4 linked regions of the Alligator mississippiensis genome follow. The main gene of each other region encodes a partner of the protein of the gene in region 4 in a complex. Links are inferred from orthologs where the notes say so. Each region holds a gene or a part of one and is shown on either strand. Other genes may lie near its edges. The genes, in order: NFKBIA, SIRT3, MAPT and SFN.

The links.
Region 1: the proteins of SFN (region 4) and NFKBIA are in contact, whole or in part, in a crystal structure (PDB 6Y1J), measured with the Homo sapiens proteins. The link is inferred for Alligator mississippiensis from reciprocal best matches to the Homo sapiens genes SFN and NFKBIA. Residues at the interface, in NP_006133.1 of Homo sapiens: Glu14, Cys38, Asn42, Val46, Lys49, Asn50, Gly53, Gly54, Arg56, Lys122, Arg129, Tyr130, Pro167, Gly171, Leu172, Leu174, Asn175, Val178, Leu218, Leu222, Asn226; in NP_065390.1 of Homo sapiens: Gly62, Ser63, Glu64, Pro65, Trp66, Lys67, Gln68.
Region 2: the proteins of SFN (region 4) and SIRT3 are in contact, whole or in part, in a crystal structure (PDB 8ANC), measured with the Homo sapiens proteins. The link is inferred for Alligator mississippiensis from reciprocal best matches to the Homo sapiens genes SFN and SIRT3. Residues at the interface, in NP_006133.1 of Homo sapiens: Asn42, Ser45, Val46, Lys49, Arg56, Lys122, Asp126, Arg129, Tyr130, Pro167, Gly171, Leu174, Asn175, Val178, Tyr181, Glu182, Leu218, Ile219, Leu222, Asn226, Leu229, Trp230; in NP_036371.1 of Homo sapiens: Arg99, Arg100, Ser101, Ile102, Ser103, Phe104, Ser105, Val106, Gly107.
Region 3: the proteins of SFN (region 4) and MAPT are in contact, whole or in part, in a crystal structure (PDB 4FL5), measured with the Homo sapiens proteins. The link is inferred for Alligator mississippiensis from reciprocal best matches to the Homo sapiens genes SFN and MAPT. Residues at the interface, in NP_006133.1 of Homo sapiens: Asn42, Ser45, Val46, Lys49, Arg56, Arg60, Phe119, Lys122, Arg129, Tyr130, Glu133, Gly171, Leu174, Asn175, Val178, Tyr181, Glu182, Ile183, Ile219, Leu222, Asn226, Leu229, Trp230; in NP_058519.3 of Homo sapiens: Arg528, Thr529, Pro530, Ser531, Leu532, Pro533, Thr534, Pro535.

What each region holds. Positions count from the first base shown.
Region 1 is NC_081825.1:256,790,712-256,798,501, forward strand, and holds the start of NFKBIA (NF-kappa-B inhibitor alpha), read right to left. Parts: upstream 3,018-7,790; 5' UTR 2,937-3,017; coding exon 2,704-2,936; intron 2,518-2,703; coding exon 2,409-2,517; intron 2,294-2,408; coding exon 2,083-2,293; intron 1,449-2,082; coding exon 1,360-1,448; intron 1,241-1,359; coding exon 980-1,240; intron 347-979; coding exon 299-346; 3' UTR 1-298. UniProt on the Homo sapiens protein: Inhibits the activity of dimeric NF-kappa-B/REL complexes by trapping REL (RELA/p65 and NFKB1/p50) dimers in the cytoplasm by masking their nuclear localization signals.
Region 2 is NC_081825.1:179,439,859-179,446,969, reverse strand, and holds the start of SIRT3 (NAD-dependent protein deacetylase sirtuin-3, mitochondrial), read left to right. Parts: upstream 1-4,028; 5' UTR 4,029-4,307; coding exon 4,308-4,383; intron 4,384-5,378; coding exon 5,379-5,550; intron 5,551-6,928; coding exon 6,929-7,111. Other genes in the region: PSMD13 (26S proteasome non-ATPase regulatory subunit 13), read right to left, coding at 602-680, 2,282-2,376.
Region 3 is NC_081827.1:159,259,711-159,267,491, forward strand, and holds the start of MAPT (microtubule-associated protein tau), read right to left. Parts: upstream 3,111-7,781; 5' UTR 3,096-3,110; coding exon 2,933-3,095; intron 2,380-2,932; exon of another isoform or gene 2,272-2,379; intron 1-2,271. UniProt on the Homo sapiens protein: Promotes microtubule assembly and stability, and might be involved in the establishment and maintenance of neuronal polarity.
Region 4 is NC_081829.1:2,829,678-2,836,272, forward strand, and holds SFN (14-3-3 protein sigma), read right to left. Parts: upstream 2,146-6,595; 5' UTR 1,986-2,145; coding exon 1,245-1,985; 3' UTR 654-1,244; downstream 1-653. UniProt on the Homo sapiens protein: Adapter protein implicated in the regulation of a large spectrum of both general and specialized signaling pathways. Binds to a large number of partners, usually by recognition of a phosphoserine or phosphothreonine motif.

The sequences.
Region 1 (7,790 bases), on a different chromosome or scaffold from region 4:
TCCTGTATATCAAATGCATGTTCAGGTAAACTGCAGTCTGTCTTCATACTGATCATATATTAGGACAACCAGTTAACTGAGAAGTGGTGTAATTCGTCACAGATTTCTACTGATCTTCTACGTTTCTCCCATAATTACAATGCAGCTCAGAACATGAATCTTGCTGTTATAGTCATGTGCTCTGTGCTGTACAGTGTATTTCAGTATTTTTTTTTCACATTTCTCCATTTTTTTAAAAGAAAGTAAGTCTCTGTTATACATATGTACAGACTCATGTCCTTTCTGAGAATACTCCATTTTATAATGCCAACTGTCGTCCTCCAATAACGCAATCATCATACATCAGCTAGAAGGGAAAAGGAAGAGTATAAGTCAATGCAATACTTTTATAGGAAACACTCAGATCTACCCAAAGCAAAATCAGGTCAAGCTCTGCTAGTCTCAACCTCAGTATCACTGCTCACACAACTAAGGTAAGCAGAATGTAATCTTTAATCTGAGATGACTTGAACACCAACATTCAATAACAACCATATAATTTCTTAAGGCTGTATTGTACTGTAACATTAGTTTTATCACTCTTCTTTCCCTTAACAAGATCCTGATCATAAAGAAATAAAAGTGCAACATTTCACAGCACTTTGGAATCACTGTGAATTTTGCTTCATTAAGGCCCATAAACAGTGATCCAGAAATGACATCTACATTTAAGAAAAATTATTGCAATAGGACTGGGTGTCTAGTACTCAAGCCCTTACTACTGGATTTCTAATGCTGGCTATTGTAACCTCTTAGTCTGCCTTGATTGTATATGATTTATATCCAGTGTGGTAACAGACCAAATTTTGTATCCCACCAAAATATCACCTCCCAACCCTAAAACTTAAGGGCATCAGGTGTGCATATTTCCAACAACTTTAATGGAGGCAACTTGCATAGAAGGTCCTTTCTGCAATAAAAGGTGAAAATAAATACTTACTTCATCCTCTGTAAATTCTGATTCTGATTCGCTGCTTTCCTCATCCTCACTTTCTGGCAGCATTTGTAGGTCTGCTATGGTTAACTGCTTCAGCTGTTCTTGTATGATGGAGCTGTCTCTTCCCCATGTGAGCTGGTACGGAGAATAGCCTTGGTAGGTCACTTTATTCACATCTGCCCCGTGTTTCACCAGAAGTGACACCAGCTCTGAATTCTGCAGGTCTACAGCTAAGTGTAGGGCAGTTCTGCCATTACAAGGTTCCTGTTCAGAAAAATAAAATAGGATATTTAGTCTCAGGAGTTAAGTGTGACAATACAGAACTGTGTGTTCTTATGGCTGTGCTATCACATCCAGTTAAACCAAGAGCTTCAAATACCCACCTGAGCATTGACATCTGCTCCTAAGGACAGCAAACATTCCACAATAGCCAGATACCCTTGAATAGATGCCAAATGGAGACATGTATGTCCTGAAAGGCAAACACATTTAAACATTAATTACTTCCCCCATTACACATTATCACTCACTCAGATCTAAATTCCTTTCTACCCTATATAATATTTTGGTATTTGAATCCACTGCTCCAAATCAAAGGCGAAATTTTTATGTGAACCAGAGTGCTCATAGAATAGGAGGCTCACATCAATTTTTTGAAGAACCTTATTTCTTAGATGCTTTACTTAAAAAAAAACAAAACAAAAAAAAAACAAAAAAAAAAACCCAACAAAGAACCCAAAAAACTGAAAAAAGTCATCTTGATTTTCCACAGTAGCTTGTTTAACCAAACAAGAAAACATCCAAAATGTCAAAATTAAAATAATATAAGCCAAAAAACCAAAAAGAAAATCCCCACAGCACTAGATGCTGGAAGTTCAAGTGCCAAGAGTCAGTGGACAGAGCAAAGACTGGCAGGCAGAACTGTGACTTATCCCCAGCTCCACTGAAGAGAGACTTTAAGGAAGTTCCATTCCTGCCTCAGTTTCCACATCTGTGAAATGGGAATGACGAGGCTGGCACGTTTCTAAAACTCCTTTGGTTGCAAAAAGCCAATGCCCTCTCTAAGGGCTGTCTATTCGAACTGGCGTAAGCTGCGAGCAGCGTACCATTGTAGTTGGCAGCCTGCAGGATGGCGTGCAGATGGTGCGCCTGGCAGTACTGTGTGAGTACCCCCACGCTCCTCAGGGAGCCCTGCTCACAGGCGATGTGCAGCGGCATGTTTCCACGGAAGTCCCTGATCTCAGGGTCGCATCCGGCCTTGAGAAGGGCCTCGGCGATCTCAGGCTGATCCGTGATCACGGCCAGGTGCAGCGGCGTCTGGGGGCCAAACAGGACAAGAGTGGGATCAGCCAGGTGCCAAACGCAGAGCAGGGCCCAGCCCGAACCAGCCCAGCCGCCCGACCCGCCGGGCCCAGGGAGGAGGGGCAGGTACCTGGCTGAGGTGGTTCTGCAGGTCGAGGAAGGCGGGCTCGGCCCGCGCCTGCCGGATGGCCTCCAGGCTCAGCGCCAGCTCCTCGTGGATGACGGCCAAGTGCAGGAACCTGCGGGGGAGGGAAAGTCCCGGTGAGGCGGCGCGTTGCGCAAGGCCGGGCTTTCCGGCGCCGGCCGGGGCTTTCCACACGCCCTGGCCGCGCTCCAGGGACTTTCCAGCGGCTCCACCCGCCCGCCCCGGCCTCCGTGCGCGGGGCCCCGGCCCCGACCCCGACCCCAATCCTGGCCCCACTTACGAGTCCCCGTCGTCTGTGAGCTGGTGGCGCCAGGCCGGGGCCGGCGCGGGCTGCGCGGCGGGCAGCTGCAGGCGGATGTCGCGCAGGTCGCGCACTAGCTGGTCGTAGTCCTCCTCCTTCATGGAGTCCAGGCCGCTGTCGTGACGGTCGTCCAGCGCCGCGCGCTCCTTGCGCGGCACCATGGCGAGGCCGGGGCCGAGGCCGAGCTCGGGGCAATACGTAGGGCTGTGCATGGCGGAGTTACGGCTACTCACGGCTCCGACGCTGCCAACATCTGCGTGCGGGCGGCGGGGCCACGGCGCGGCATTATAGGCGCGGGCGGAGGCGGGGGGATTTCTGCGGGGCGGGGCCTGCCCGGGAATTTCCAGCGCAGTCACCGCCAGGCCTGCTGTGCTCGGCCCGGCCTGGCCTTGCTGCTGCTGCAGGGCGGCGCCTCGCCTGAGGAATCCCCTGGCGGGGCCGAGCCTGGGGGTTTTTTCTGTTCAGCTGCAGGGGAAGGACGTCCCGGCTCGGCCTCGGCCCCGGCTCTCCCTGTGTCCCCTCCTTTGCGCCTGGGCTTTCCCTCAAGCTTTCCCTCTGTGGCAGGGGGCTCCGTGGCGCTGGGCCCCCTCCCCGTCCCGGGGCCCACTCTGTGCCCGGCACAGGCAAGTGGGAGCGGAGCAGCTAGCGCAGCAGCCGGAGGTCCTCGGTGGGGTTCTCAGGCCTGACTTTTCTGGAGGAGGCGGCACCAAAGCAATGTCTTGTCCTCAAGGCTGGACACAGGCATAGGCAAATCAAGCGACTGGGCCCAGACAGAAAGGGCACAGTAACGATTATTATTATCATTATCTCTAGCACAGGGGGGCCCAATACTAAAAGTTTGCCCAGGGCTGCCAGGAATCTAGGTACAGTGCTGCGCTGCCCTTCTGGTCACAAAGCTCACTCAGAAGCAGGGGGATGACCTGGCCAAACTCACTGTGACATGCAGCTCCCCTGAGTGCCACTCAGGCTGCAGCAGGGGCCTGAGCTGTGAGGCAGCCGTGATGCTAAGCAACTGACCTGTTGTGCAGGTGGTCCTGAGCTGCCCAGTCTGTTCCATGTCAGTTTGGTAACATGGTACTTCGGTAACAGGCTTTTGGTTTCATTAGGTTAGGACAAATGACACTACTGAGATGTATGGAACAATGATTGCACAGATAATAAGCCTAGCTACCCCGGACCTCAGAATTGTCTGTGGAGTCTGACAAGCTTTTCAGAGATCTACTTTGCGCAATTGCAGACTATAAACTCTTCTCTACTTGTGCAACCTACTTGGTACAGGTACTCTCTCTAGGGGGATTCACCTTTGCCCTCTGAAGTTTGTACTAAAACTCCAGCCAGCGTCAATGCAGTCAGATGAGGCATAGATAGAGGAGTTCCACTTCCATTCCTGTAGGTCTAGTATCAGTCAAAGGTTAAATTCACTTCTTTCCCAGAGCATATGTATTCAAAAGAACAAATGCTGTTCAAATTGGGAACAGTGACTTCTTTTAGCCTTTATGCTGTTCACATCTCTCCTTTGCTGGAAGTATCTATTGTGTGCAGTGACATTCACTGGTAAAGGAATAACCAAAACCAAAAGCTCCTAGATTGATAAAAGATACTTCTAGCCGTACTGGCAGACATGTAGAATTCAACAAGCTAGTTTGGCTGGGATCATTGACAAAGCTTGCATTTTTTCCTCAGATTTAGGGGGTTTTCCAAGAGGTTTTTTTCTGCAATTGTAGCTGACGACACTGAGTAATAACATCTGAGAATTTTCTCTCGTCTTCTTCCCTTGGGATGGCATTCCTGTGAAAACATTTATGAGAAAATCCAAGGAGAAGTGGGGGGTCAGTAGAGAAGGCGCATATGATACGCCAACTTAATTTTCAGGCCAGAAGTAACATTACTGGACTTTTTCCACACACTTATAAAAAGTAACAATATTCGTCACTAGGCCTTGGAGAACCCAGTGGTGGTTTCTTTGGGCAGGTTCATAAAAGTTCCACAACAGTTTCTTTCTTAATTTAAGAGGCATGAACCTTCAATGTGTTTCTTGAAACAATTTTTCTTCTTCATTTAAATCCTTAAGCAGGAAATTATTTTTTAAGGAAAATCTCTCTAAGTAAATTGAAACCATTGCTCTACAAAGACTAAAGATTCTTGTTTAAAGGTGAATCTTGCCCTTGTTGTTATGATGGAGGAATAATACACAAGAAGAATATGGAACCCCACAATCAGTTTTGCCAGAATCAACATAAATTTTAACATTTCACATTCCAGTTTAAATGGATGACTTTGGAATTAGCAAAATACATTCTCCACTTCCTTCCACAACTGAAGTTGTACAGATAACTGAATCCCTGGACATTCTAATTTTGTTCAAGTCTTCATCTTTAAGTAAGTTTCATCAGTTTGAAGCAAACATAGGTGTTAGAAGAAGAATGGAAAATTATTTCTTTATGGAAAGTCACATCAGGGTTAACCTACTTCCTGCTCTATGGAAATGCAAATGCCAAGTTCTCACAGATGTTTCAGGCTATCATATCAACTCTTTAAACAAGCAAAAGTTTAGTTTTTGGAGGTTCCAGTACTAAAGGTGCAGAGCTGCACATTACATGATCATAACAAACATCAAAGCATGTGAAGTTAGATATTTTGAGCTCTCTGAAGACAACCTCTGCTCTAACTACATATAATATATCTGAGCTTCTCTGTTAACTTGATTCACTCAGTTGTTAAGACATCTGTGTTGCTGAGTGCCTCCAGCTTAAGTAGCAGCTTCAAGACTTGATTTCTTTCACCTATAATTGCTAAGTATAAGGCATCCTCAATTTAAAGAGGACAGCTGGATTGTTAGTCAGGGCATATAGTGACATCTGCTGGATCTTTGTGGAGTATCATTTCAAAAGGTTTGTTGGGACTGAGCGGGGTGAGGAAGTACTTCATATGGTAGCTGTGACTCAATATAGTCTTGCATTTTAGTGCTCATCTAAGGAAGATTCCAGCTAGGTGCAGCATAGGAAACCTGACCAGAATTTTTGCATCTAAATACAGCCCAAACAAGGTGATTGAAGCTTTGGGATTTGATTGGACTCGCACAGCATAGAATGTTGTGATTAGATTTGTTCATAGTGAGAGAGGTTGAAATTTGTTGTTATTATTCATAGTAGCAGCAGTAGTAATAGCATATTTGGTTAAACCTAGGGGAGTCAAACACAGACTGGGACTCCACTGTGCCAGGTAGACCAAAAGACCATCTGTTCTTCAAAGAAGTTAGAATCTCAGTATATGAGAGACAATAGATTAATTCAGATGGATGGATGGAGCGATATTTAAAATGAGATAACTATCACAACTAAAGACATATACAGAATACAGTTTTACAATGGTACAAAATTGTATTAAAGAAAAGATTTTAAGCAGTGATGCAGAATATTGACTCTTTCAAGCATAAGCATTTTTCCAGTAGGTTATTTATAAGTTTTCTTTACTGGGTGCAAGGATAATTGATTGAAATGGAAACAAATGAACTTTATCACCATTTTCTTAAACAAATATTTGTACTTTTAGCTGTGTGGGCTATATTGCATGCCTATTTTCACAGGCAGACTACTAACTCAATATTAAAGTTTGGGACAGAGACTTGGATGGGGATTTCAAATGGAGCTGAGTGGGTGGGTGCAGGGACACAACCAAGGTAACTCCTGCTCTCTCAGGGGCTGAGAGTCTAACTGCAGCGCGATGCAATGGGGTAACCTTGGGAGAACTGAAGTGAGTAAAGACACTGAGGAATTATGGATGCTGAGAAACAGCAGCTGAAGGAGAATTCAGGCTTGGTACAAGTGAGACAAAGTCAGTGGGAATGGGAGTCATTGACACCAAGCTTGAATTAATCTTAAATCCTGATAACTCTCCTCTTTTGATTATCTCTTGTCTCACTTTCTCTATTTTAGCATCTATGAAACAATTTCAGTGACATTCATCTATTCCTTATCTGCTCCTGTTTGAGAGGTGATTCTGACCTGGTGTCATTTTCAGCTCAGACCAGTACAATACTTTCCATGATGAACTGGCTAAAGGGTGAAGTGGTATCTCATTCAGAAAAGGATTTCAGAGATCTTCTAAGTGCCTTGGTTTTCCCTGTCACATGGGGATAATAATACAGGGAATGCTTTGTGGAGAAGCTACTGCTTATATGACTCTTTGGACTTGTACAAAGCTCTTTAAACAACTCTGTGAACATATATCCATGAGAAATAATATTACACAAAGTGGAGAAAAAATATGATACCTAAAGGCTGGATTCAGTAAAACCTGTTCACCTCTGGGTGGCCTGAGAACTCAATTTTTAGTATCACTGTGCCAAAGAAACCATATATTTGTATTGACTCTAACTCCCTTAAAGTACCTGAATGAGACTTTAAAGCAGCTTTGGGGGCTAGAACACTGAAAAGAGACAGCATGATTTTCATCAGTTTTAAGGTAGATGAAGTGTTCTCGTGCCACTTCCATGAGCAAATGCATTAGACTGTGATTTCCTGATTTCCACTTTAATAGTAAGAACTGTCTGGTGCTGTGACTGCAGCACTTGTAATTTACCAGAGTTGGTCCCCCAACTATGTCCCTGCTGAGACCTTTGTGATTATCACTGCCAAGATCTGTTAACCATTTCCTCCCACTTAATCTCATGGGCTATGCAGGTTGGTAACAAACATAACAGGAAAAGGCAATTTACACAATACATCCTGGCCTTGGCTGAGGGTTAGAAAAAAGGAGCCAATTAGAGGTTAGTGAAGGGTTTGAGTAAAGCCTCCTCTTTTGCACAGCTTGGCAATCTGAATTTGTATGTGGGGTGATGCATTTACAAACGTGCTTTTCTAGAGGTCCCTTTTTCCAAAGACGAAACTTTTGTGTACTGTCTGTAAAGCACCAAGTGCACTGTGGGTACAGTGGAAATAATCCAGTAAGAACTGTCGTTGAGATAATATTTTCAATTCCCAAATATAGCCACTATAGTACTGAGAGACCAAACTAATTATTAGATTAGTTTAACAATTTTTAGTGTTTATGTTTTGAAAGTTAAT
Region 2 (7,111 bases), on a different chromosome or scaffold from region 4:
ACCTAGCTTACACAGAAAAAATAAAGGTTTTCAAAACCACAGATGAACCAAATTAAAACCATGCTCCTTTGAAGACCATGTCAATTTTTCATATTAGAATGTAGTAACATGGTAACTGCTTTTACATTTTTAAAAATCAGCTAAAGCTTTACATCTATTAAAATCTGACCACCAATGACTATCTAAGTGATTTCGCAATCAGGGTGCTGTGAGATCCTTTTAAGGGTGCCAAGGAACATTGGCTGTGCAAACATCTACCTAGGGTTCATAAGATAAACCCAGAGTTTTCAAATAGGAATCCAGTGTCAAAAACATTTCGACTTGTGGTCGCTTTGGGCTCTTTGCAACAGCAGAATTGTTGTTTTTTGTCTTTACTGAAAAAATGAGTGAAAACTAAGAGCTGGCATTTTCCAAAGGATGCCTGGCACCTAACAAGGTTGAGAACCACTAGTTCAGTCTGGTACATTTAATGTTTGTTGACATTTACACAATAATTATTCATGCCATTCCAAACAGAGGAGTGTACTTAGAAAGAACTGAAACACCTTCTTTAGCATCACATCTACAGTGACAACCACGTAAGAAAAACCAGCCGACTCACCTTAATGAGTCCATCTCCTTGGGCAAAGCAGGGGTCCTGCACAAAGTCCAACACCTGCAGAGTCAGCTGATGCCAGAGTCTGAAAACAAAACAAAGTCATCCTCAGCAAATATGAGAACAGTAAGCAACTACCTCAGACCTGACATCCACCGAAATGCCCTGCGTAATTATACAGCCCATTTCAGTGAATCTATAAATGACAACAGGGTCATTTCTAACTTTAATCATAGAATCGTAAGAGAAGTAGGGCTGGAAGGTTCACTCCAGAGGTCCAACCCCCTTGCCTGAGGCATGGTCATCCCTATCCAAACCAGCATAGAAACTACGTAAGACTACCCTCAACCCTGACACAACATAGACCTAATACCCTAACTTGCCCAAACAGGTAAAGCAGGGGAACCACGGCTGCCAACTTCCTGCTTCTATAAAAGGTTGCTAATATATGCTCCATAGATCCCAGATAGAAGGCTACACCCCGCCTTACCAAAGAACACAAAAGCCCCTGAGTCCGTACCAGTATGACCAGGGAGTACAATTCCTTCCTGATCCCAAATATGGGAATCAGTCTGACCGTGAGCAGAGGAAAGACCCTCCAGCCAGGAACCTCTGGCTTTATGCCCCAGCAGGAGCACTGGTGCACTCCAGTCCAAATCCCCAGCTTTGGCAGCTGTCAACACCCAAGGATTTTGGGGAAGGCTTAAAAACACCCTGACACGTGTTACAGCTCTTTCAGCTGCTAGTCTGAGCAGTCCAGTATCGCAGCCAGCTTGCAGGCTACTAGCTTTGTGTCCCACCCAGCCTCTTTTATGCTGGTTTGCTTTTGCCGGTAATCCCATAGCTGCTAAACCAGCCTCTAGGCTCCGAACGAAGGAAGAGAGCCATCTCTAGCCTGGCTCAGAGAAGCCTCTGTTGCCTGTGACGGATGACATCACAGTTTCATAGATGCTGGTGGCTAGAAGGGACCTTACAGATCATCAGGTCCAGCCCCCTGCACTTGGGCAGGAAAGACAGCTGGGGTCAGATGACCCCAGCAAAATGGGGGTCAAGGTGCTTTTTGAAGATCGCCAGGGTGGGTGACTGCACCACCCCTGGGGGGAGCCTGTGCCAAACCCTTGGCACTTGATGCGTAAAGAAGTTTTTCCTTATGTCAAACCGAGGGAAGCAAATCGGGTGAAGGCTCATGCAGGGCCCAGGGAGCAGGTGCCACTGAGATTTGATCCCATGTTGCTCAAATCAGAGTCCAGAGTGCTAGCCACTATGCTGGCAACCATGGGGCTGGTGTGCAGCCCAGAGTGTCACACTGAGCAGCTGGAAAGCCGGCACATCCTAGCCAGGGACAGCTGCTCTCCACTCCAGGGGGACCAGGACCAGCACCAGAGACAGCAAAGGGCTGGGTATCACAGACCGAAGTTTGATTTAAAAAAAAACAAAGTCCACCCCCACACACGCGTATGGCTGTGTCCATGTGCATGCGTGCACGTGTCGGCCCTCCCGTCCCCATCCCCATCCCCGTCCCCCGCGCTGCACGACGCGAACGCCCCGCTCCAACGTCTCCCCAGGGGAGACCAGCGCTCGCCGGCCCCCCCAGTGCGCATGCGCGGCGCTCAATACAGGGGGGGCTCAATTGGGGGGGTATTACCCCCCCGCCGGCGTGCTACGTCACCCCCCCCCCGCGCTCACTTCTTGTTGTAGAGCTCCTCCAGGCGGTGCCACACGGCGGCCTGGCCGGGCCCCGAGCTCTGGCTCTGCTGCAGGAAGCCCGGCACGTCCTTCATGTTGGCGGCGGCGGCGGCCGGAGCCGGGGCGACGAATTCGTGCGAGGAACCGGAAGCAGCGCTGCCGGAAATGCACACTCACTTCCGGCACGCTTTGCCTCACCCCGCCGCAGCTCAGCATCCCGTTCCGGCCTCCGCTGGCGCGGGGCATGATGGGTACCGTATGGCTCCGCGTAGTGCCGCCCTCAACCCCTCCCAACCACCACCCGCGGTAGCCATGGCAATGGCCTGGGCCTAGCGCCGCGGGCGGGGCGGGCTCCCCTCCACCCGGTGCTGCGTGTCCCGTGAGCGGGCGCTTTGATACCGGGGCAAGGCTCTGGCGCAGATCCAAAGCAGACCTTTCGAGGAGCGTGTCGCCCAGGACAATACCGAGGTGCTGAGAAGGGCAGTAAATGCTCTTGGAGGACACGGTTTACATAAAGCAGGGGCATACAATCAGTAAAATCATATTTGGCAGCTTTTCGTAGGGAAAAAACAATCGAACGCACAGCTCTGCAAGGGAGAAGTAATGGTGCAGTAATGGACTGGCAGAGGGAAGTACACAGGTAGTTTTGCAACATGATAAAATGGATAGGAGCCAAAGCCAGGGAAGCTCTTGTTGCGCCGATACATGGGCTGCCTCGCTTCAGACCTAACCCGATGACCACTGATAACGCCGCTGCTTGAATGTGCAGAGCCGTGATTGTTTCTCCGGTTGGTGGTAGCACACAACGAAAGCTCATCCTTTCGATGAGACAGCGCCAACGTCCAGACGAGGCTCTTTGGGTAAATCCGATATTTTTTATTACACCAAAGTCCAGGGGACTCATGGACACGAAAGACCCAGTGACATTTTGAGGGACCTGGTGATGTTTATCCCAATGTCCTGGCCATTTTCCTATCCAGGGGTTTACGTTCTGTCCAAGGTACGTTTTGTATGCCAAACTTCAAAAGTTCAGAAATCATGAGCCGCGACCCTCCAACAACTGCACACCAGCATGACATTATGAGTTATAAAAAATAAAAATTAAAAAATAACGGCCAACATATTTGGGGTACTTTTTAGCTGATTTCTGGCTTTTGTGCCTCTAGGAAGTGTTCAGATAGTTTCCTCCCCAACCAAGAGTGCAAGAAATCTACTTATTTTGAAATGAAAACTGAGATTCTCCCCAATCACTTGTCTCCTGCAACCAGGGCTGCTCAAATACCGAGGGACTCACTATCAAATCCCATTTTTATTCTTTCCAATACCAAATCAAATAACCTTGTCTACAAATATCTATGGGCTACATCACTTCAATTGGGCCAGTAGCCTACCTGCCCAACCCGTAGGCCTGGAAGTTCAGATACTCCCCAGATCCAGACGGGCCAGTCCCAGGCTCAGAGGCCTGGGAGTTCAGATGCCCTGCAACACGCTTGATCTTAGCCAAATAAAAACCCCAATATTTAGCAAAGCTCTAAATTCCTCCCCCTGAAGTTGCAATGGAGGAATGGAATGGGGAAGTTTTTCTTCCCTCCCTGCCCTGAGCACTGCTGAACAGGCAAGATGTGCTCCCCTCCCTTTCAGTGGTGTAATAAACACTTTGCAACCCGGTTGCCTCTGAAGGAGAGCTGCTCTGATAACACAGTCTATGATGTGTCTAACATAGAAGCCTTTGTATTAGGGAAATTATGGTAAAGACCTTCTTAGCTGTGCCTGGCTCTGATAGACTGTGAGCAAACAGACTAGACTGGTGGTTTGCCTTGTGCTCTGGATCCCCCTGCCCCAGCCCCGGGGTCAATAGTAATAGCCAGTGCAAAGGTTGCTCCTTGCTATGCTCCTTGCAGCCAAAAGGGCATTCAGTTGCCAGAGCCTCTAAAGGGGAAAGCAGAGAAGCAACCACAGGAACCTCCTTCGTTCTCAGCCACATTGCACAAGTCGTCGCTTTCTGCAACAAGGCGAGTGAAGGGGAATGAACCTGGGCGTACGGTTCAGAGTCCTCGCTGCTGGCAATGTGCTGCCTCCTGCGAGTCATCCGGGATTTGCAGGTAAACAGCGGATTCAGTTGAGACTGAAAAGTGCTGGAGTGAGTAGGACTGCAGGTTTCGGGAAGGCTGAAGATCAGAATGAGGGAAATGGTAGGAGTTTGGGGGGCAGCAAAAATGAGTAGATTGACAAAGTTCAGAAGTGACTGCAGGAGATTGGTGTTTTGACCTTAGAGGCCGAAGGGAGAAGGTAGAGTTCAGACAGGACTTGGGGAGGGTGGCAAGTGAGACTGCGGAGCATGGAGGACTGTAGGGAGTGTGGAGCGGAGAGTTGATGTGTGTTAGATCATTGTCAGTGATGTGCTATGCATGGGAGAGGGTTTTAACTCAGTAGCCCAGTGATTTTCAAGCAAGGTGCCTTGGTACTCTGGTGTGCCTTGAGATCCTCTCAAGGGTGCTGCAGGGTCCCACACAACACTGGCACTCTTAGGTGTCCAAATATGGTCTGCAAGAGAAACCCTGAGGTTTCTAATAGGAATCCACAGTGTTAAAAATATTCTGACCTGTTGTGGTCTTTCTGAGTTCTTTGCAACATAAAAACTTATATTATTGGTCTGTAGTAAAAAATCAGGTGAAAGCTAAAACCTGACCTTTTCTGAGAGGTGCTGTGAGTCTAACGAGGGGTTCCTTGAATCTAAAAAGGTTGAGAACCACTGCTGTAACCATACCTGATTATCTGAAGGCTCTTGGCCTAAGACATGAGCTCCATGAGGGTTTCTAGTGGTCCATAAGTTACTAAGTGTGCATGGAATATGGTGCCTCAAGGAAATGTCCACTTTGTACAAAAAGTGCCCCTGGTGGGCTTTGTTCATCTGAAGGTGCCTTTTTTTTTAATGCTGTGTACAAGTGAAGTTACACCTACATCAATAATACTTAATCAGTGCACGGAGCTGACTGTGTTTTCTCCGTTTTTCTGGAGAGATTCCATCTAATTGGGCCAAACCTCTCCAGTGAGTAGACTTGTCACCTGGCCCAGACTGTGGTATCTTTTGTTTCAGCATGCAGGAGTCTCTGGATATGCACTCAGGGAGATCATCACAGTAGGGTGCTGTCCAGAAATGACCCTGTGCCTTCCTTGGGATTTGGCTTCACCCTCACAAATGGACATTCACAGCAGAGGGGAGTTCTGGCATGGGCTGGAGAGAAGATGGCCTGTGCTTCCAGGGTGAGGTATGGCTGATCTCTCATTTCATACTGCTCGCTGTCCCTCTGCCACATAATCCTGACACAAATTCCCCACAAACCAACGTCCCATTATCTCAGGGGCGTATCCAGCTTTCTCAGTGTCACAGAAATACCCACCCCCAGGAGGTTGAGACTTTTGTCATCAGACATTTCGGATACCACAAAATATGTTACAGCATGGTGCTTGGAACAGGAAGCACCCATCATCTAAATACACAGGCTGCCAGGCTAGGTGAGGCATGGGACCTGCTACCTCAGGCATTTGGGGAGACTGTATGAAACAGAAAACAGGTTTATGGAGAGAAATAATGACTACTGCCAGGGTCTGGACACTGGTTTTAGCAGCTCAACGATCAAACAAGCATGGGTTTGGCAATATAAAAATAGATCATGAAGGCAACATTCAGCAGTACTGTGGCCTACTAACACTGCCATGAGTCATAAATCCCAGCAGCTTCCCCTTGGCTCTGTTCTCATTCCTAGATTTTCTCTGGATCAGCAGTATCATCCTGCACAAACAAATGCTACTTATATAATATGAGATTATAAATTCTTTCATTCCCTTCCACACATAAGGCTGAGCAGTAATGGTGCTTGCCATGTGCACACTGACCCTCGCAAGAGGCAGCCCTTGAGGGGACTCTAAAAGGGTCAAGGGTTTCCTTCAGGCCACAGTGGTAGTTCCTGCAGTTCCTAGACTGGACAACAGCTGTACACATCACAGCAGTATGTAACACAGTCAGGTGCTTCTTATGAGCTGTGACACAAAAAAGGTTTCCAATCTGTGTCCAACCAGAGGCTTTGTATGCTGATTTGGAGATTCAAAGCTTTCTTAATGCCTGTGCCTTCTCTGTAATTCACCCAAATACCTGTACTGGGCATGTCTACACGTGCATTAATGTGCTGTAGGTACTGTGCGTTAAAATTAGTGCCTGCAGTATCAGGTACTAATTGAATGTACAGTAACTGGTGCTACTGTGCAGTAGCATTGGCACACACCTTTTTAGTGACATTAATGTGCAGTAGACTAATTCTACTGCGTGTTAGTACAATAGCACGGCTTTTTCTGTGATGCACTAATGCGCAGTAGAATTAGTCTACTGCACATTTAGCATCTCGTGTAGACATGCCCACAAAGACATAGTGTGAGGCTTAACAACCATTCAGTGCCTTAAGGTCCTCAGGTAGAAGGGTGTGGATGTGCTCCTGAGAACTTAAGATAAGTTTTCTACCTTGGGTTACTCAAGAAAAACACACACATCTGCAGTTTAGAAGATCAGCCTTGGGCTTTCTCCAGAACTCTTGAGATTACAATCCTCAGCCCTTTTGTGATCTGCTGTATTTCTTTCTCTGCCCCTTGCAGGATCCCAGCAGTAAAACCTGTCTCCTTATCTGTTACGGCCAGAGGCATCTCTGGAATTAGTGGAGGGGGAGGTGACAGCAGGAAGCGGAAGCTCACCCTACACAATGTGGCAGAATTAATTCAGAAGAAAGAGTGCAGCAGGGTGGTGGTGATGGCTGGAGCTGGGATCAGTACCCCCAGTGG
Region 3 (7,781 bases), on a different chromosome or scaffold from region 4:
CATTTTGAAGGGTTAGCCATTTGATTTAGCATCTTTTACCTGTGTAGGTTCTGCATGTGTATCAGTTGCTTCCTAACCTTCTCTCCAATAAACTGAATAAGTCAAGTTGCCCAAGCCTCTCATTTCAAGACATATCTGTACAATACTCAAAAATAGGACTCGTCAGAATTGGGACCCCATACTACAGATAGGTAACAACTTACAGAGACAGAAACTTAGTCAACCAAGCCCATGGCATATCTGGATATAATAGCATGCTGTCCATTAGCATGAGTGCTGAGACTACAAATGTCATGATTCATCAGCATTTAAACTGTGAAGGCTAAAATACATGCATGCTTTCAATCCTTATTTTACACTGAAGACAGTTCAAAAAGGGTGAAAACAGCTAGGCTTGCAACTAAAGAACAAGAAAATGGATGGGAAGGGATTCAAGTAAAGCATCTTTGCACATATTCTTCCATCCAAATCCCAGCCTTCAACTTGCCCATGAAAACCACGTGCAAGAAAATCCAGCACTTCTAGCTAAAAATCAGCATGGACCATCTTCTGGTCAGTCCAAACAGCTCACCTGGAAAAACTGCACATAGCACAGACAATGACTGAGAATTTGCCCCTCCACATAGATTTTGTCGAGTCAAGCACTGTAGATACATTATAAAAAAAGCAACAAAATGTGTCCATAGTTTATTTTTAAATTCCAATGACAATGGTTTTTAAATATTCTCCCCACCCTTATTACAAGAGCCTGTAATGAAGTTGGCCATAAACAGGGAAATTAACAAGCCTTTTTTCATTGTCCACTGTGCAAAAAGCTGCAGAGAGCCTGACTGCAGCATGAAAAATTTAGATTATTAAAGCTAAGCATCTTAAATCTGATTTATGAGGAACAGAGGTTAAATAAAATCTGTACCTGATGTCTGCATTTCAGGCATGCCAATGAGCTTCTTTTCATCTCCTTTGCAGAGCTGTTAAAAAGTCAGCCAGTGTACTGCACAGGTAGATGAATTGGATCAGTCAGGCAATATGCTCTGAACAGACCACTGAAGTAACAGAAACCTTAACCCGTTTCTGCAACACGTTCTAGGCAGTTCATAATGACAGGCTAAGTCTTGGTTGCCACCGGAGTTCTACCCCACACAGAGGTTCGGTAAGCCAAAGGAAGGAGAAACGACATGTAGGATGATGGCAGCTGCCTCCCAGAGAGGCAAGGTGGGGATCGTTCTATTTTTTGATGTGATTAACAGTACCTCAAAAAACCCCACATCTCTTTCCTACCCGAACCCTCCCAGACACTCACATTCTTTGGAAAAGAAGAAAACAATTAGCATTCCACCTCCTTGGTCTCAAATAAGCCGTCTCCGCTTCCGATGAGTTTAACAGTTCAAATCTAGGTGACCAGGTGCAACATGCTTTGTGCTTACTACAATGAAGTGGCTGCCAGTATCTGCCAAGGGCTTTCCCTTTCCATTTACAAACAGAAAAAGCAAAAAAAAAAAAAAAGAGAGAGAAGACTGTCTCATAAGAGATGGAAAATGACCTTGGGTGGCACAATGTTTAGAAATGGGGTTGGACCCACATTCCTGTGTCCAGGGTAATTCCACAGTTAGAAGTAATTAACAGTATATGGGGGAAAAAAAAGAGGTAACAGAAACAGATCAATTTTAGCATAATAGAGAAAACCACTCTGTGAAGAATGAGGATACACATACTGGCAGACAAAGGGGTTTCTCCTCTCCTTAAACTACAGGAATATACCACAATCTTTACCCATTCAATGAGAATCACACTAGGCATCCATTTATGCTGCCATACCAGGGGCGTGACCAGCTGCTATACAGTATACTCAGGGATTTTACAAGACCATTTCAGACAGTGATTTAGAAAAAGCATGCAAGAGAGAAAATCACATACGTAATCCTAGTGAACCTTGCATTTCTGTAACCCCCCCCCCAAAAAAAAAAAAAAAAAGCAGAAAGGAGCAAAATACCTATCAGGGATTTGCCTGCCTATTGTAACCCTACTCATGGCTATTACTATCATTATCAATTGCATCAAATAAGGTGATTCAGACACTGTGCATTCAAAGGGGTGCTCCCCCAAGGCTATAGGAAACCTAAGGCTCAAGAATTATAAACATAAATCACACAATGCTGACCAGCGCTGGGCAACAAAGCAACCTAACTCCTAGACACGATGACCTAAATCTCTCTCCTTCCCTCCCCCCTCGATTTCTACGATTAAAAAGAGACAGCGGCATGCAGGGAGTACCTTTTTTATTTCTTCACCTGACAACCCGAAGGCAAGCGTCCCCCCACGTTAAAAGCAGGATTCTCCCTGCAATACCGAGGATGTGACAGACTGCAAAATATGGCACCTCGGATGTAAAAAGGAAAAAAAAAGCCCATCCTTTCTCTCTCTCTCTCCAGATCCACACCTACTGCAGTACCCACAGCCAACCTCTCATTCGCCATCACCACCACCACCGCGGCCGTCCCCCCGCCAGGAAACCCACCCTGCCGCCGGGAACGACTCCCCAAAATACTGGGAGACAGGAGGGGGAACGAGAGGAGGGGGGCACCTCCGCCCTGAAATGCACGGCTGCCTGGGCGCAAGGTGCAGCAGGGCGGGCAGGCGGCGCCCACCGCTGCCGGGGGCAACAGAAGCCTTCTGCCACCGAGACCCCGGCGAGGGGGGGCCCCGCCGGCGGGCTGGGGCTCACGCACCCCGCCCCGTTTTGGAGGGGGAAAGTCTCGCAGCGAGCGGGGCTGAGGCGCACCCCCCCAACCACTATCGGCTTCTCTTCCCCTTGCAAAGACGCTGGGCTGGGGCTGGGGCCGGGCAGAGGCTGCAGTCCCAAGCCTCCGCGGTGGGGGTGGGTGTGGGTGCCCGTGCCCGTGCCCGTGCCCGTGCCCCCGCCCCGGGCGCTCACCTGCCCGCGGCCGCTGCAGGAGCTGGTGGAGTGGCGCGCGCAGCCGGCAGCAGGGGAGTGACAGCCGCGCGCTCCGGAACCTTCGCCGAGCCCGCGCCGGCCCGGGCCGCCGCCAGGGGGAGCAGCCGCGCGCACGAGCACCACAGCCAAGCCGCGTACGCATACGCAGAAGCGCCGCCAAAGAGCGCTCCAGTGCGCGTGCGTACAAGCGCTGCACCCCACCCCGCCGCCGCTGGACGCGGGCGCATGTGCAGAAAGCGCGGCTCTCCGCCCTGCTCCTTTGTCTGAGAGAAGCGGCTTCTCCCCGCCCGAGGATGGGGCACAAACGCAGGTGCGCAAGGCGTGCCCGAAACCGAGCCTCGCTCTAGGCGGCTGGAAGCCCCAAGACAGGGTCACTGGCGGCCTCCAAAAGGCCCCACAGCCCGGGGTGGTCTCGTCACAGACGGGCGCAGCCCCGGTTGGGGGGCCGTGCAGCTCTTTCTCGAAGTTAGGCAAGGGCGCGTTTCATCAGAGCCACTGGTGATACGTAGGGGGTGCATGCAGGTGTACGTGCACCCCCTGAGATTGGCAGTGCACCCCTGCGAAGAGCACCACTGATGCTGCCAGTGGCACTTGCAAGCAGTCGCTGCTCACCGTCCCCCTTCCCCACCGCCAACACGGTCTGCTGGTGGTCCCTGATCGCCACTGGTGGCATCTCTGGGTGGTTGCCAATTGCTGGTCAGGGCTTGCCAGCCACCCATGCCGCCAACACCACTGTGGCAGGCTGCGGGAGCTCCCTGCTTGCCGCCACAACACCCCCGCTGCTGCTACTGCTGCCACCTGCCCCCCCCCAGCCTCCGGGGGGCACGCCGTGTTTATGATGGGAGCACAATTCATTTGCAGACACCTCACCCGCTTTCTACCTGCCTCAGGTGAGGCAAACGTATTGCGGGCTCCAATCTCACTGACTTTTTATTAAGCACGTCTCTCCCTGAGAACTGTTGTTTCACATAAGGAGCTTGAACACTGACCTTTGCTAGGTGATGATGATGATAGAAAATCAGGGCTGGAAGGGACCTCAGGAGGTCATTTAGTCCAGTCTCCCACTGGAAGCAGCATCATCCCTCTCTAGACCTGCTGGTGTTTGGTTCACCTGGCTCTTTAAAAAATTCCAGTGTTGGAGATTTCTCAACCCCCCCCAGCAGTCAGTTCAGTCCTTACCTACCCTTACGCTAGAGACGTTCTTCCTACCATCCAACCTAAATTCTTTTGTTGCAATTTAAGATGTTTATTTCTTAAGACTGTCCCACAGGGGACAAGAGATTGCCATCCTCTTTATAACAATACTTCATGTATTTGAAGCCAGATCAAATCACTCCTCAATTTTCTCTTCTCCATATGAAATAATCCCAGTTCTTGCAAGCTTTCTTTGTATGCCAGGTTTTTCAGACTTCTAATAATTTTTGTGGCTCTCACTAAACTCTTTCCAACTTGTCTATGTCTTACTTGAAGATATGCAAGGACATATTTAATCAGGGCATGCAACAGCAGTCAAGGTAGATGGGACAAAGATCTGGACAACTGTAATAAGGGCTACACCAGATCAAAAGTATGAATGTAGTATCTGGACCTGCTGAAGGTAATTCGGGTCACTTCAGGATACTCCTCTCCCCTGGCAAAACAGGAACAGTGATCATGTCAACATTATGGATCCGTAAGATAAAAAGAGACCTACCTACCTGGCTGAAAATGCATTCATTATAAGATGCTTCTCCCCTGTTAGCAAACATTATCTGTCTCATTCCATTTGCCTTAAAAACAGTTTATTTTCATCCAAGACCTTTTTTTGATCAGGCACTGGAAGAGGAAGAAAACCGCAGAACTCAGGTGTAAGGTAAGGAAGACAAGCATACCAACTATACAGCTCAACATACTTAACAATTTCTAGATCACTCAGATATTAAGAGAAGTTGCAACAAGCAGAATACTGAAGGGCCTAATTAACAAAAAACTGTTAGGAGGATGGGCAATATCCCATAGTCCTTTTGCAACTCACCAAAAAAAAAAAAAAAAAGAGTTGGTATGGTTGTGTCTATACATCTCAAGGCAGTGCCCTGCAGATATATAACTAGCTCTAAACTAGTATGGAAGAAAGTCTGTGCACTCCTCCTGGTGGTGACAGGTTTCAGAACCCTAACCAAAGAAGTGGTCCTCTACAAACACTTGACCAAACAACAAGGGGCCCCATCAGTTTATCTCTTGCTTTAGGTATGCCTTGTGGAAAAGCCAGGAACCTGCTCATCAAGAGACACTTGGACCCCACAGACAAGGACTGTATTAAAATGGGGCTGAGTGAAATGTACTGGTACTACACAAAAACAGAAGAGGACAACGGAAAAGAAATGACAGACCTCATCTGGTGGAGAGGAGACTGCCATTAACTTTTTCAGAGGCAAACCCTCTGAAAGGACAGTGGGTGAAACTACTGGAATGGTGATGGGCATTGGCGATGTGTAGGGGGTGCATGTGCACCCCCTGAGCATGGCATTGCACCCCTATGAAAAGGTGCTGCCGACACTGTCACCGGCACCTGCGGGCAGTTGCTGCCCCCACCCCCAACCACTGACACTGATGCAAAAAAAACTGAGTTAGCTTTATGACTGTCTTATGCCATTCAGACATACCCTATAAAAGCAATCCATTTTCCTGTCAGGACTCACACATACATACATACCTTGATCAAGTATGACCATGATCTGCTGAAAGACAAAACTGTTATGAAGATTATGGTCAACTATCCTCTTATTCATCAAAGAAAAAACAAATCTTCAGACAAAGGATATCAGTGAAGGTCTCTATGGTACACCTAGATCTGAAGCCAGAATGATAAAGCTCCACAGACATATAGTCAATTCTCCACTTGAAGTCTTTAAACCATGATCAAATGACTTTTAAAAATATTCTCTAGTTTAACCACAACACATTTGCCTGAGGCAGGAATTCTTGTTGAATTCTACACCTATGTTATGCAAGAGGTTCTAGTAGATCAGAATGGTTTCTTCTAGCCATAATATGCACAAATACCAAAGAATCTAGATGATGCTGAAGATGGATCACTACTACATTCTTTAAAAAATCACCAAACTATTTTTTCAGTATGAAGAGTATGGTTTCTTGAGCAAGATCCAAACTCACATTTGATTTAAATTGGCAGGTGTCTTCCCTTTACAGGAAGGTATGGACTTTTCTCCACAAGGAGGAAGCAAGGTTTTGCTAAGCTAATGTCACCAAGCACTTTCAAAACCAGCGAGACTAGAATGTAAACCAATCTCCAGAACTGATATGATGTGAAGGTACCAGACAATCTGTCATGAATTACTCTTGTCTTCTCTGAAGTTAATGGGAAAATTCTTCAGAGAGAAATATTTGACCCTGCTTCCATTAGAAGGCAATCAAAACTAAAGAGGTTGCCTATCACATAGCACATTTCAATTAGTCTAGACTTCATAACACAAAGAAATCTCCTTAGTCTTGCTAGCCCACGGACATTATAGAAACATCTGCCATTATCAGTTGAATTCGGTATGCATTTTCTTTCAGTGGGCATTGCAGTTTTCTTCTTGTTCCTTTACCTGTTGAAGACCAGCTCTAAAGTACAATGCCTTGTAAGGATATTGGAGGAGAAAGGTGCCTGGGAGTATATCAGCAACCATAAGAAAAAACATTGATATTCAGCCAATAGGTCTTAGTCTCAGCCAACAGATCATCTAAATAGCCAGAATATTGAAAAAAGGGGATGGGTCTAGACCTCTTTGGCTTGGAGAAAGTGAAGCACTCGTCAACTTATGACAATGGTGAGATCAACATATCTTTTATATCAATTAACAGATACAGCACATGTCCACCCAAGAAGTCCATGCAATTGAAGACAGCCCTTGGACCAGATTATTTAACAGAGACAAATTAAATTTTGATACCAGAGAATAACTGCTTTTGGAAGACAGATTCTATTTTGCTTTGGACACCTTCAAATATATAATTAATGGTTACATTAATAGGAATTTTTATGTTATGCCTCCAAAGCACTGCCAGTTGCTTCACGGTAGGCATGCATGTGCTAGAAAACTTTTCCATACAGTTTTAAAATCAGTGGAACTAAGCACATTTTATCAACAGTTATAGCCAAGTGTAGATTCAGTTTTAGGCAATTTGACCTGTTTTACTAACCCAAGTAAAATCAATCCCAGAGTTGCACGCTACTACAAGGGCAACCTGGAGAACAGAAAACCCAGGCGATCTTGTCTCCAATCCTTCATTAACAACTAGACTATACTTCCCTAATTAAAAATATATATAAAAAGGGAGTTCTGTATCTGATTAACCCTCATGTCTCCTTCTGGCTTTTCACTTCTATTTTTCATCATAAATTCTTTTCCCCTGCATGACCTCTGTCAGAAATCTGTTCTGAGACCATAAGCTTTCTTTTGATTTTCTCTTTAAAGATTCCCAGGGAAAAAAAAAAGAAACCTTAAACCAGTCTAACAAAGGATCCCTCCTGCAGTTTCTCCACAAAATCCAATTACAGGGAATAAGTAACCATGAAATACCAGACAATAATTCCATTGAGGGATCTCTGTTAAGTTCATAAACCTAAAAAGCATAGCCTGAGAAGTTTGTCCCTAGAGCCCAAGTGGAATTTCCCTGTCATTCACTTATAATTTTTTAATAATATCCATCACAAAGACCCATGTACATTAACCATGTACCTGCAAGAACATAATATTAACAAATATATAGACAAGCATTTTGCATTTCACTGATTAAATTCTCACCTCCCACATGGAAGATCTGGGTTCAGTTCCCAGTGTGT
Region 4 (6,595 bases):
CCTCGGTCCAGGGCTGCAGCCACCCTCAGCCCCCGGAGCCCCCGCGTCACAGGGCGCCGTCAGCCCTGGGTGGAGGAGCCCTTCTCTGGAGACCGGGCTCTGCGCAGGAAACAAGAGAAACGGCAGCTTTTAAAAGCCACGTTAGTGGGAGAAGCTTTGTGGGGCGTGTGTATGCATGTAGGTGCCTGCACACGTGTGCATGGGCCTGTATGTGCACATGGTGCTTGGGGCGGACAACGGGCTGGACAAAAGCAACCGATAGCGGCCCTGGAGGCGGGGGCAGGAGTCCTGCTTACCCAGAACCGAGACACCGGAGGCCCAGGAAGGCTCTGCTCCCCCATCCCCTCGTCGCTGTAACCGGATCGCCCGCTGTGCGGCTCTGGTGGGGTCCTTGCCTCCTGCCGAGGCCTGCCCTGCGGCACCTCGCTCCTCTCCCCGCGCCCCCACCCCGCTACCCGCACTGACAGGCAGCCTGGCATGCACAAGCCTGCCTGGAAAAGCCCCGGGCCTGTGCCGTGCCGAGACATGTGCACAGCTGGAACCCCCTCGCCCCTACCCAGCAGCAGAGAGGCATGTGCCAGGGGGCACGGGCTGCACCCAGCCGCTTCCACAGCACCAGGCCCAGCAAAGAGTAACGACCAGGACGACCGAGGCAGGGGGCAGGTGAAGTTTTATTGGCAGGGACAGGCAGACAGCGGCTATGGCAATACAGACACAGGCAGCACCACGAGTTTATCATTCTTAACCCGCAAGAAAGAATCCCTCCCCAGGCCCCTCACCTCCAGCTTTCTCCCACCAAGGCTCATGGCAGCGGCGACAGGGACCCCGCACAGCACGCCGCAGGAGCGATGGCCAGGTTCCCAGCTCCTCAGATTCCCCTGCTTAAACGCCCTGAAGAGTGGGGACCCTTCAGCCCTTTGCAAAGGGGTGCGGGTGGGGGGGGCCTAAGATGCCCCCTTCCATACACACCCCCCATGCTAACAATAGCATACAGGACGCTGGGCAGGACACCGAGTTAGCAGCGCTCTTCTGTAGCAACAACCACCCACCAGGGGTATCGTGGAAATCGGGATGGGGCCGGGGAAGGGGGTTTTGTCCCGAAGCTGCCTCGGGGGAAGGCAAGATAAAATGTGCGAATACCATACGCGCGGGCACGTCCCCTCTGCTAGCAGGATCCGGGCTGTGGAGCCGAGACACGTCTGCCAAAAAGGGGCCGAGAGGTGGGGAGCTCGCCGGGCCGCGGTTCAGTTCTTGGGCTCTTCCCCGGCTTCGCCGCCATCTTCTCCCGCGCACTCGGCTGTCCATAACGTGAGGTTGTCCCTGAGCAGCTGCATGATGAGGGTGCTGTCCTTGTAGGAGTCTTCGTTGAGCGTGTGCAGGTCGCCCATGGCTTCGTCGAAGGTGGTCTTGGCCAGCGTGATGGCCTGCTCGGGGGCGTTGGCGATCTCGTAGTGGAACACGGAGAAGTTGAGGGCCAGCCCCAGGCGGATGGGGTTCGTGGGCTGCATCTCCTTCTTGCTGATGTCCATGGCCTCCTGGTAGGCTTTCTGGGCATTGTCTATGGCGTCTTTGCGGTCATCCCCCGTGGCCACCTCAGCCAGGTATCGGAAGTAGTCTCCCTTCATCTTCAGGTAGAAGACCTTGCTCTCCGGATCGCTGGCTTCCGCGATGAGATGCTTGTCCAGCAGCCCGAGCACGACGTTGCAGACGTTCTTCAGCTCGCCCTCGATCTTCTCCCGGTACTCGTTCACCAGCTGCGCTTTGTCGTCGCCTTCCTCGGTCTTGTGCTCGATGCTGGAGACGACCCTCCAGGCCGAGCGCTGGCACCCCACCACGTTCTTGTAGGCGACCGAGAGGAGGTTGCGCTCCTCGTTGGACAGCTCGTCCCCGTGCTCCACCACGGCCTTCATGAAGTCGGCCATGTCCTCGTAGCGCTCGGCCTGCTCGGCCAGCTTGGCTTTCTGCACCTGGTGGTTTCGTGCCATGGCTGGGAGCGCTGCTGGTTGGAGAAGGAGCAGGCGGTTGTCCTGGGAGCCCTCAAAGTCTGTCTCGGTGCCGCGGACGGGATTTGCTTTTGGCTGAGCGTCTGAGCCTGGAGCAAGGGCTGGGTGCCGCTGAGAAGCCTGGCTGAGCCCCTCCTCTACTTCCTCCTAGCCGGGCAGCTCCTTAAAAGGCAAACGGCAGTGACTCACCTGGGAGCTCACTAACCATGTGCCAGCGAAGGGAGGAGACATCCAGGTCCAGCAAGGCCTCCACCCTGCCGCCTGCCAATCACAGGCTGGCCTCTGCACTCCCGGCTCCGGCACTGTGCCCCCCGCCCTGCCCCACCCGGCCTGTCGCCTCACCCTTTCTAGGTGGTCGGAGAGCATCCTGGCTGGACACGCACCTAGAGATGGGCTCTTTCGGCCGTGGGAGCCTTGCTCCGCTGCTCAAGCGAGATCAGCCCTCAGGGAGGACCAAGCAGATCTAACCCCCATTTCAGATGCCAGGAAATCTTTCACTGCCGGGGGACTTTAGCTGCCCCCTCTGCCAGGTGCAGATGGTCTCTGCTTAGCACCCCTAGCTCCCCAGCAGCGAGCGGCTATGCAGCTTCAGCCTGATGAGACATACCTTGTCTGACCGCAGAAAGCTAACACGATGCAGCCACTTCAAATACCAAAAGGGCTCGTTCCTCTGGGAGCTGGGTCTTTGTGCAGCCGGGGAAACCGAGGCAGAGAGAACAAGTGACTTCTCTAAGTGCAGAGAGGGCTTGTTTTATAGGTGGACTAAGACTGCACGAGCTTCGGCTCCCGCTGCTGCGCTCAGATCACATCACATCCCCCCCCCAGTAAGCTCGATGCCCTCTTCTGCTGGGCCCGTGAGCAGACTTGCATGACAGCACCGGCTCAAAAAGCCTTGAGAAGCATGTGGCCTTCCTCCAGGGGAAAGGGGGAAGGTTTGTGGGCAACAGGCAGGGCATAAGACACCAGTCATGCTGCGCTCATCTCTTCTACCCTGAGAATAAAGCTGCCTATAGAGGAGAGGAGCAAACCAGGAGCGTGTGACTGAATAGGGTCACCCCAGTCCGTTTGCTCTAGTTTTGGGGACTGCTTCAACACTAAGATGCTTTATCCTCCTCCTTCGGGAGGGACAGCGCCTTGGACAGCCCAGCCTGTGTACCAGAGGTGGGTGCATGTGGCTCCGTGCAGGGAGCAAATGGGCGTGGGGGAAGCGGGTGTCCAGGCCCATCTTAGACCGTCCAGGGCAGGGATTGGAAAATGCAGCCCAGGGGCCAGGTGCGGCTCGCCAGGCTATTCTATCCGGCCCGCAGGGCCACTAGCGCAAGAGCCTGGTGGCTCCCAAAGCCAGCATCCTGCCCCAGGGCCTTGCGTGCGAGGCAGGGACAGCGGCTTCTGCCGAGAAGCCAATGGTTTCTCGCTTTGCTACCGGCCCGGCTCAAAGCCTCTTTGATGAAATAGGGAAAAGGGACCGTCTGCGGCGCTGCGCTGCCTCTCGCCGTGATGTGCCCTGATTAGAATCTCCTCCTCCAGTTACGCTGCAGTTTCACTCTCAGACTGATTAAGCTTGTTCCCACTTGCTGGGAGCCGACTGCTCCTTTCTGCTGCTGCCAGGACGCGGCGTGACAAACTCATTGCGCTAATCCTCCACGTTATCCGCTGCGGGGAGGGTGGGGCTGGCAACTCAGCTGTCCCACTGCGCCGAGGAATTGTTCTGGCTGCGTGACTCACGGCGCTACTCATCCGTGCGCAGAGCCCTGGATTGTCTCCCCCCAGCTGACGTCTGAGCCCTTCTCTGCTGAAAGGCCCCGGTGACACCCCAGTGAGATCAGACCAGCTCGCTGCTGATTTGAGGGGAATGCCGTGACCTAGCTACAGCGCTGAATCCCTCCTGGATGAGCCAGGGGAGGCTGAGCCCCGTGACGTGTGCTTAGCTTTCCTGGGTGCAATGGGTGCAATTAGCTTAGAGGCCTTCCCCGCTCCCTGAGTAATTATTACCAAGGGATCTGAGCCCCTCCCGGCACCCCGGGGCAGAGCGGGCAGCACAGCGATCCCTGCTGTCACACAGACGGGCACCGAGGCCCAGAACCTGCGAGAGATTTCCACACGCAGCTCCCACGGCCCAACACCGCAGCCTGGTGCCAAAGGGACTCGCCCGAGCTCATGCATGAAATGTGTGTCAGAGCAGGGCTTTAACCCAGTTCTCCCAGGTCCCACCTAGTGCTGCACTCCCTGTCCCGTGTCCCCCCGTCTCTGGGGCCTGAATGCTGCACTGGGGCCCCATGGGGGTGACGGGGACCCTGGTGCTGCAGGCGCCCAAGTAGCCGTGCGCTGGAACCAGCAATGAGTGTTTCCAAAAGAGATGCCGGCAAGTAGCACCCGGCAGGTGCCAGGCTCTCTATGGGGGGAGCAGCCTGCGGGCTGTCAGAGGGGATGCCAGGCCACGTGGTGGGTGCCTACGTGCTCTAGCCACAGCCGCGTCATTCCTTCCCAGGTGTGAATGTCCCCCCAGGTTTGCTTCCCCTTTGGGGGCTCGCCCGCCGCGCGGTAGGGTCTGCGCAGCCTCCTGCCCTGTGCAGCTGACTGAAGAGGAGGCAGGCGAGGCGCCTTTCCTTCAGGCAGCTCTGCGATCCCTTCGCTGCACCAGGGGCCTCGCGGCAGGGCACATGCTTGCTGCATTCGGCGCTGGAGAATTAAACTGAGCAAGCCTGTCTGCTCCCAAGCCCAGCGGAGAGGTAAGGAACAAGCATGGGTGAGCCCCAGTCTCTCTTCCCTGGCTGGAGGGAGGAATTAGCTCCTTCCTGATCTGTGTCCCTGTTTGCTCTGAGAAAAGCCGTGGCGCTGCCGTGGGAAAAGGAAGGGCCCCGCTGCAGTCCGGCAGCCAGTGCCGATGCTGCCACACGCGTCTGCCTCCCGGCTGGTGGAACTGGACCTAACCCAGAGGAGCTGTTCAGAAGCCTCCATTTTAGCAGAGGATCAAGTTAACCCTGAAGAAAAGGGGCTCTCGGGCCTGGAGCTGGTCAACTCGCCTTCCCGTCCCTCCCCTCTGAGGCCAACGCGAGTCGCTGGGCGCACGTGGCAGGAAGAACGGGGCCAGGATGGCACAGGGCTCAGCATGACAAGATGGGCTTGGCCTGGGCTGGCCCCACTTCACCTTCTCATCCCGGGCAGCGCATGGACCAGACTGGGGCACGCCCTTCACAAACAGCTCAGCATGAACGGGAACAATAAGCGGCAGCAAACGCATCAAGAAGGTGCCCAACAAATTGACCCAGTTTGTGCACAGATGTGTGCGCAGAGGCGGGCCAGGCTACGCCCCGTGGCGGTGATGACATTCAGTGGGGCCCGTGGATCAGGCCAGCTCCGAGCACCGACAGCCAGAGCTGCAGACCCGCTCTGGCATTAACACAACAGGCTTCCTACTCACTCCCTCCCGCCCTGGCTGGAAGGCCCGCAGCCCCGCCGCGCCTTGCTGCACCCACCCCTCAGTCCTGCGACGTGCCAGGCTCCCCGGCAGCATGCAACACGGCTTCCCCTGCTGCTCTTGACCCACCCTCGCTCCTCTCTGGACAGATCAGCCCCTTGCCACAGTTATACGAAACTGCAGCTCTCGGGTCCACCAGCAACTTTGCAACAGGGCAGTTGAGAAGGAAGCAGCTGGAGACACCTGTCCCCAGTGTCACCGATTTCAGTTCATAGACATTAGGGCTTGAAGGGACCTGGCAAAATCATTGGGTCCAAGCCCCTGCCCAAAGGGCAGGTAGGCAGCAGGGGGTCAAATGATCCCAGCAAGATAGTTGGATGAGTTAAATAGATACACCTGGGTCTGAAGCAACAAAACCAGCAGCCCCTCACCCCTCCTCCCCCGCCTTCTCTCCCTGCACTGAGCACGCAGGTAGTTTGGGGGAAAAAAAGGCGGACTGATTCCCAGGTGCAGCTCACCCTGCATCCGGTTTCCAGGAAGACCCAGCCTGGCTCTGAGCTGACTGGGAGCACCTGGGGTTTCACAGGGATGAGGCCTGAACAAGTGGCAAAGCTCAGCACCTGACACTTGCACCTAGCCAGGCTCCGGGTGGCTGGGACCAGCGCACAGCAGCCCAGGGAGCTAGATATTCCTGGCTTGCAGCCTGAAATCACTGAGCAGGAGACTTCTCATTCACACCCCACCTCCCCCCAGGGAACACGTGTGCAGTCACGAGCGGCAGAGAAGGGGCACACCTTCCTGGAGGAACAAAAGCCAGGGGTCCGGGTACAGTAAATAGGAGAGACTTTATTGTGTTACAAAAGTAAAAGGCCTGACGCGGTTCCAGTCCCCCGGCCTGTGCGGGGCTGGCAGGAGGCAGGGGCTGGGCCGTCTCGCACTAGCTGCTTTGTAAAGCCTCGCACCCGGTTTGCTAGTGGCCAGAGCGTTAGTGCATTTGCTGCTAGGCACAGGCTCCCGGTAACGCTGACTGCAGTAGCAGGGGGAAGAGGCTGGACAGGGACGGACGCTAGGCAAGCTGCTGCTGCGCTCTACTCCCTTCCCTGAGAACGGGAGCTGCCCTAAGACAGCGGAAAACGCTGGGCTTACTGGCGAGCGCTGCCTGAAAGGTGACCTC